Linked DNA regions of Neodiprion lecontei. The protein of the gene in region 2 interacts with the protein of the main gene of each other region in a pairwise test. Links are inferred from orthologs where the notes say so. Each region holds a gene or a part of one and is shown on either strand. Other genes may lie near its edges.

Region 1 (3,934 bases), on a different chromosome or scaffold from region 2:
TCCATATTGCAAATTAGTTCTAGGCGCTCAATGATTTTCTCTTGACCCAATGGCTTAAATCTGAATTTTGTGCACCGAGATGTTAACGGCTCTATGATCCGAGAGACGTAGTTACATATTAGGCAAAATCGTGTGCTGCGAGATTCACGTTCCATAGTGCGTCGTAACGCTGCTTGTGCAGCATTAGTCATGCTATCTGCTTCATCAAGAATTATTATCTTATATGGAGGGCATGGTTTACCACTGCAATGTAAAAAGAAATTAGAGATGAGTTATTACAATGCTTTTTTGTTGGATTTTCGTTTGCCAAAGGAATACTTACTAAAATTTTATTAATTAATTGCCTCAGAATAGAATAGTTGTCATACGAAATACTGAAATAACATTACATTTCTTGGGAATGATATTCAAAAAATAAATCTAAGGAAAATGCATTGCATATTTCGATAGATGTATGCTTTATAAAGATAAAAAGTCAATACTTAAAACTTCCAAATATCCTCTCAAGCAAATTTTATGTCCCGTTGTTAATAAGGGCTGTTAAGAATTTTATAACAACTCCTGAGCTCAACTGGGGATATCTTTCCACTAAATTTAACAAATGCTATTTCAAAATATTTCTCAAACCTTTTACTAAATCATCATTGGCAATAGATATTTGTAACTATTCACAGTCTCTATGTTTGCTAATTGCTAGTACTTTGCAGTGTAAATTGTTGATTATATGAAAGAAAGATCTAGGTATGTGCTACACTCATCTCCAATAATGTCAAATTTACCTTATATTACAATATATATTACACTATATCAAATATGTAAAATTGGAGATGTAGAAAATTCTAATCTAGTCAGCAGACACAAATAATCAGTCTGGTAGTTCATTAATCTCAGAAACATACATGAAGTTGAGACCAGGGGCTACAATTCATGGCCGAACGTATTGAACTTCTGTTAAATTGGTTTATAATACTTATTTTTATAAGGATTGTGTAATGTATGCTAAAATGGTTCAAATAATAATATGGATTTCAAATTCAAAGGTAGATGACATAGAATTAGTTTTTTCACTTACTCGGGTCTTGTGCCACTGGCTGTCAACTGTGCGAAAGTTTTAACTTTGTCTCTGATTACTTGGATGCCACGTTCATCAGAGGCATTTAATTCTAATATCCTATCTTTGTACATGTCCCCAAATAATTGTCTTGCAGCAGCTAATATTGTGCTGGTCTTTCCCGTCCCTGGTGGGCCATAAAACAACAGATTGGGGAAATCGCCACCAACTAGACATTGTTGTAAGACCTTGACTACTTCGCCTTGTTCAACAACATCCTCTACAGTTTTGGGTCTACTGTGGAATTGAGAAAAATGTGCTTAACGTGTCATAATGGAATTGTGACATTGGTCTACACTTTGAACCGCGGCATATTTAGAAACAATTATTTCAACCAATTGTGGCAGTCAAATTTGATAATTTAAGTATACAGCTAAAGTATTTACAGAGGTTCTTACAGTCAGGTCTCTTTTAGTGGGTAATTTATTATGGCGCAATATCTAAATTAAGCATTTCATGCCAACTGAATGAACGTCTAACCCTTATCATATTGACTTTTGAACACTACACATAATTTCACCATTTGACACTCTCAAAAAAAAAATGAAAAGATTTAATAGATAAAGATAAAAGGTACTCAACATCAGTGCAGAAGCCAGATTTCAATCAAGCTGGTTCGATGAAAAATTCAAGTAAATATGATGTAGCTCTTTCAATTTTCCTTGCAAATTATTATGAAACTACATAATTAACCTCAATTTTGGTTTGCAAGATTGAAGAAATTCAAAACTTTCTATGATCCAATGTTTTAACATAATCAAGAATCAGCATAATATGTACCGCAGAGGACTTATATTCAAGAGAAGTTTGAAATATCTATGTATTATAATTATCTAACCAAACTGCTTCAGAAGCAAGTCTCCTCACGAAACTACGTGCTGAAGATTGGGATTTCAGACGTTTTTCTAGTATATTTGTTCAGTAACCAATCCTGAAATTTTTTGCATACGAAGTTGAAAAGTTCAAGTGCAACTCATTCAATAATAACACAGATATCACGTCGTGAAAGAACTCCTTTCAAAATATTTTTTTCGTACTCGACAAATACTCATTACCACGAATAAATAATATTACTTTAGACATACTATTTTTCAACCCATGGTGGTGAAGGTCCTTTACGCTTATCCTTTGAACTCGAACTTGAAGTAGGCTTTCTGTCACTGGGGCCGAGTTTACCTCTTTTCAAAAAACCATGCATTGTGTTCAAAATTATATCGCTTGAACGTTGAATGATAGAAAACCGGCCAATGTATTAACTTCGCGCGTTCATACGTCAGTAAAAAAATTCACGGCATGCGCAAGATACGTTTTCCTATATTCATGATACTCGTGAGCATAGACTACAGGAATAACTAAAAACTGCCATAAGCAAAGGGATATCAAAGGGATATTACAAATAGAGACGCCAAGATGCGGCGATCAGCACAAGTAGAAAGTCGTGCTTGAGTCCCTATACAACAGGTCGTGCGAAGAGAAATAGTGAAAATCGATCAATTTTTATTTGCATACACACAAAACTGCTGACATTAATGTTACAATTTTTCATTAATAATTTTCCTCAATTTTATATATTGTTGTCAAATTTGGCTATTAACCCTAGAGGGATAAGATAATTTTTTTTTATGTACCTCGTTAAGTAAAAAAATGTCCCAATCTTGTAAATTCCATCTTTCTGGTACAACATATCGTTAAGGGTCCTATAAGGTCTCATTTTTTACAATTTTTAATAAAGAATCACGTAGGCCAAAAAAATTTTCGCTCAAGTTCCAAAAAAGTCCTCAAAATTGGTAACCGAAACACGAAAACGTTAGCCGTTCTTTTGCGGTGAGAAATTTACATTTGCGCGACGTGCCCCCCCCCCTCCCCCCCCCCCCGCCCCCGTTTCCGGTAAAGCAAATACTAGAGAGTTTAATTTTCCAACAAACAACATGCAATACATAACTAAATTAAGCAAATATGATAGGACGACTGAGTCATGAGATTCAATCAATCCAGCACTGGATGGCCTCTCGCATTTTCATATTTTCGGTACTAGAGGGCATTGCATGTGGTGTTCCGTCGAGTTATAGGAGATATTTTGTATGTTATGTTATGTTTTATACCTTGGCTGCACTTAGCAGTGAAAATGGTATTGCCGAACCTGCGGACAGGCCGACGGCCGGGTACTGGGTAGTTGTTAAAAATGGCCGACTTCTGAACTTTATTCCTGTATGTCTCCCCCATTACATTAAATAAAAATCAGCATTAATTATCAATTTTGTCAATTGACAACGTTGAGTAACATGCCGCGTGTCAAAGCCTCGCCGAAAAAATGCGTCAAAACGTCCAATACGCACCCGGCAGCCAACACTTGGGTGTTCCTTATGAAAGGTAAATAAAAAAAAAAGAGAATAAATAAATCAAACAACTGGCCAACTGTAGGGTAAAAATTAGCTGCAATCAATTTTTTCACCCGTTTCTTTTCCCAACACCATTATTCTCATGAATTTTTAGTCCTATGCTATTTCTTTTTATACCTGGATCAATACTATCATCGATCAAAGAACGATGCTGGTTGTTATTCTTTATGTAATTACAAAAGACTGCTACTGTCCTTCCACAATTGTTTGACCAGCATCAATTTACTGAACTTACACAAATTCCCTCCAGGAAAAATCTGAAATTACTTATTTTTTCAAATGTAAATGCCCTGTCGTCTAGTTTGTTATGTTTTGAAATGCAAATGAAAGTTCATAATTCGGCTAGAAAACTGGGGCATTGTATGAATTCGGTACCTACTAAAAAATTGTATGCATGAACATTTTACATTTTCCCAATTCATTT
Region 2 (3,934 bases):
CCGCGTAACTCTGCTCCTCATCGTCTAACTCTTTAACTTTCAAGCAATAAGAAAGATACTCGAATTTGGCGTCCGCGTATTTACTGATCGTTAATCTCGTGTCTGGAATGGCTTTATGAAGATATGTTCCAAGGTCGCTCAAAATGGGCTTCACCGCCTTTAGCATCGCTACTCCAAACTTTTCCATCTGTCTATGTTGCTCGCCGAATTGCCTGAATGCTTCGCTCGCACGTGGTTGAGGCTCCCTTACACCAATGGCCGCAAAAGCATCACCAAATGCTGTAATGATGGAAGTACATGCCTTGAACAATAACGATACACTCAATTTTGGTAGCTCTATTGACAATTTAGGATATCATTAGACTCAATTGTGATCAATATTGGGCAAAAGCTTTCTGCATATTGTATTAACAATTTCATCATACCTTTGTATACTTGAGTGAGATCAAAAAAAGCTCGTAGAGTGGCTTTTGCATGAGCCACTAAGCCCCTGTATAAATTTTCTGTCCGTTGCAGAGCAGCTAATCGCTGAACCAACGCATCATTACATAATATAGCTCGAGACAAGCCCAGGGCATCTGCTGTGGCACTCCCCATTCCCTCAACCAGTCTGTGCTTGACCTTTAATGACGGAAAATCCCTCTCAAAAAAATTGAATTATAAGGTTTTGCAGCCTCATTGAAAATAGTTTATTCAAGGTCAGCTAACAAACTTCAAGGAATGTTACAATTTTAGTCCGGTAAGATACGTGACGAAAATTAAATATCCTGAGAATTCACAAATTCAATGTATTGTACTTGTGAAAATTTGATAAAATTATTTTGCGAGAATCATCCATTTAAAGTTCAAAAATTCGATAACTACTGAAATTCAAAGCTCAGAAACACGTGAACCTAAATATTCAAATGAGATTAAAACTCGTAATATCAAAAATTTGAATTACTAATTGGGACTTTGTTCATACAACGAACAAGGAACATATGAATCTCATCAAACGTGAATCTATTAAGTTATCAAGGAAGTAGCAAAACAATCTGACCCTATCCGCTATGCAGAAGCAGTGTACTTTTGTTTATGTGATTATCTCAAACACTAATTTAAAATGAAACTTTCACCTTTTTCAGAGCAATATCAAGGGAACGTCCTTGCCTCGGATCAGCATGCAGTTTGTTGTAATTGATGCTGACTTGTCCATCACAAGCCTGAATCATTTTCGCCACTTCAACTTTGGTCTTTCCTTTAACAGAGGCTCCATTAACTGCAACAAGTTCGTCACCGGATTGCAGTGTACCTTCTGCAGCAGCTGGAGTGTTATCAAACACTTGCACAATGTAAAGACAAGGGCAAAGCGGAGCTCCACCTCCAATGCTGATCCCAATTAAATTGCTGCTGTCTTTCTGAATCACGACATTCCCCGAAGTTATGGTCATCCCCCTATTTGAAGGATACTAGTGTTAATAAAGATTAGGAGACGTTTAACATAATTGTTACAATGTCATTATTTGATTTATGTGCAAGTAAGTTTTTTTCATAGAAGAACATTGGCATATATATATATATATATATATATATATATATCAATTGCAGATGCAAATTTACAGTTGGCAGCATATAAGAATAAGACAAATAAATATACAATATTAGATCCAACCAATCACATGAAACTTACAGTTGGCTGTTAGGCAGCTGGGTGACAGTGACCACTTTGTCTCGTGCGACCAGTTCTATGTCTGGACTAACTCCGATGCAGCAAGCAATAAGAAAATAGCGCAAGATGCAGTAAAACGACAATTCCTTTAAAATTGGGAGCTCAAATCTTGAACTGGATGAAACGGATTCGGAAGGAAATGTTCTTCGACCACACACACACGCATACCCACGCACGCACGCACACACACATGCAGACACGCAGAGATTTAATATCAGAAATTCAAAACAATTTTCTAATTTCACACATTATACACATCTTTGACGTGAACAAACTCATTTAAATGTAATATAATCAAAATAATATGCATACATGCGATCTTCCATCATGGTCAGCTGATGCAGTTCGACGTTAGCCCGAGGCAGAGCGGTTAAAGAAATACCGAGATCTTCGTTGACTCCATTTGTATCGGTGGAAGGTATTGTGTCTGGAGGCGATAAGAAGCTGTTCGTTAGACTGTGCCGCCGAGCGGTGACAGTGGTTGAGCATGCATAAATGAATACAAGAAACAGAGATAAAGTGAAATTAACATAAGATAAAGCATGATAGAGCGCACACACACACACAAGCGATGTGTAGTTTGTGATAAGTAAACCAACATTTTATCCTCCTCGAAGAAAAAGTCGTCCTCAAATTCCATGTTGGTAACCTTATTTAGGTTATATATTTTATATTATATTCGTATAAAACTTATACAGATCGTATAAAATATATTGGTAGGGATTGATTCCTCGGTAATTACTGTACGGGTCACTTTGAACGCTGCGACATTCTCCGGTCGGCGGATATTTTCCTATTCTCACGACTTCAATTATCTTCTCAAATTCTTGGGAAGGGCTTTTTTCGATTTTGTCAAATAAGTTCAATTGCCGCCTTTAACTTGGCTCAACTTGGCTGAATCTGATCAATTTGACATTTGGATTGACATTTGCTATGGACTAATTTGCCTTCACTCATCGCTGTACCCTTTGTGTTGTTGTTCCATGCTGTAAGGCTCCGTTGTTTCAAATTTACTGTGGTTCGTTCGTCTACATGATTTGTTTAGTAGTGCCTCCATGTTCCAAAAGACGTCAGAATTAGACGAATTTAGTCGAAGTTTACGAACACACTCACACTACTATGGGTGCGTTCCGAAAATATTTCCCAGTGTTATCACGATCTTTTATCTCTTGTGCGCTGCCGAGTTTATGAGTAGCTCTGCCTCTGTCCTAGGAACTCTTAGCACTGTCTGTAGTGTGGAACGCACCCTATGAATTGATGTACGTATGTATGTATGACACACCTGGTTCATGTTTTGGATTGAAAAGGGCAGAAAGTATGTTCCCTGGGAAAGGGATTGAAGCATTGACAAGAGTATCCAGAAAATCTGAGCTGAGACCACGGAGTACTCCGTGTTGTATATCTTACTTCGTGATACCTTCATAACTCGACGTATTTGATAATAATCAACATAATAATAATAAAATCCAAACTTAAAATCCACTAAAATCGTGATCAGTAAGATAATAAACAACAAGACAGATAATATCTGTCAAGATACAAACTGACCTATGAAATCGCAGTGGAAATATTGTTTAGAGAAAATAAGTGACGCGAAATTGATTGACGAGGAAAAGAGAAAGACAATGGTGAAATCGTGCAAGGTAGCGTAAACTTCGTATCCCGCATGAAAACAAACGTAAAACGTTGTGGAACAGTACAACACGATGGATAAACTGACCATTATATCGGGGACTTTGTTTTTGGCAGCTGACATGTTCGCAATCGTCAGTCTGGCCATGCCCGATTGGATTATTACCGATGTTGGAGGTTTGCATCAATCAAGGATCACTCAAAACTGATATTATTCTCTATATGCATGTTTTGTCAATATTAAAATGAAATTACCAATGAAACAAAAATTGATTTTCTCATAACTATACTGACCGTAAAATATGCCATGATTTTTAGGTGACACCAGACTCGGATTGATGTGGTCATGTATGACGCTGTACAACCGGCCCCAAGTCTGCTATCCTCCTGACCTTCAGCTTGAATGGCTACTCGCGCTCGTCTGCATATCCATAGGGTGTATTCTGATAACAACCACTATCATACTCCTTGCAAGTTCTCATTGGGACCGCAACGTCATTCCTTATGCCAGATGGGTTGGATTTTCAGCCAGTAAATAATGTTTAAACTTCTTAGTCTATGATAGTAATAGTAATGCGGAGTATTCAGGCTTTC

Evidence for each region.
Region 1: the proteins of PRKCA-binding protein (region 2) and replication factor C subunit 4 interact in a two-hybrid assay, tested with the Caenorhabditis elegans proteins (3 studies listed by BioGRID). The link is inferred for Neodiprion lecontei from reciprocal best matches to the Caenorhabditis elegans genes Y57G11C.22 and rfc-4.

What each region holds. Positions count from the first base shown.
Region 1 is NC_060263.1:25,723,776-25,727,709, forward strand, and holds the start of replication factor C subunit 4, read right to left. Parts: upstream 2,488-3,934; 5' UTR 2,310-2,487; coding exon 2,197-2,309; intron 1,349-2,196; coding exon 1,073-1,348; intron 244-1,072; coding exon 1-243. Other genes in the region: ribonuclease H2 subunit B, read left to right, coding at 3,394-3,481. UniProt on the Caenorhabditis elegans protein: The elongation of primed DNA templates by DNA polymerase delta and epsilon requires the action of the accessory proteins PCNA and activator 1. This subunit may be involved in the elongation of the multiprimed DNA template.
Region 2 is NC_060262.1:20,832,266-20,836,199, forward strand, and holds the start of PRKCA-binding protein, read right to left. Parts: upstream 2,769-3,934; 5' UTR 2,349-2,768; coding exon 2,308-2,348; intron 2,165-2,307; coding exon 2,021-2,164; intron 1,740-2,020; exon of another isoform or gene 1,736-1,739; coding exon 1,670-1,735; intron 1,435-1,669; coding exon 1,116-1,434; intron 622-1,115; coding exon 426-621; intron 280-425; coding exon 1-279. Other genes in the region: uncharacterized protein C16orf52 homolog A, read left to right, coding at 3,415-3,517, 3,659-3,871.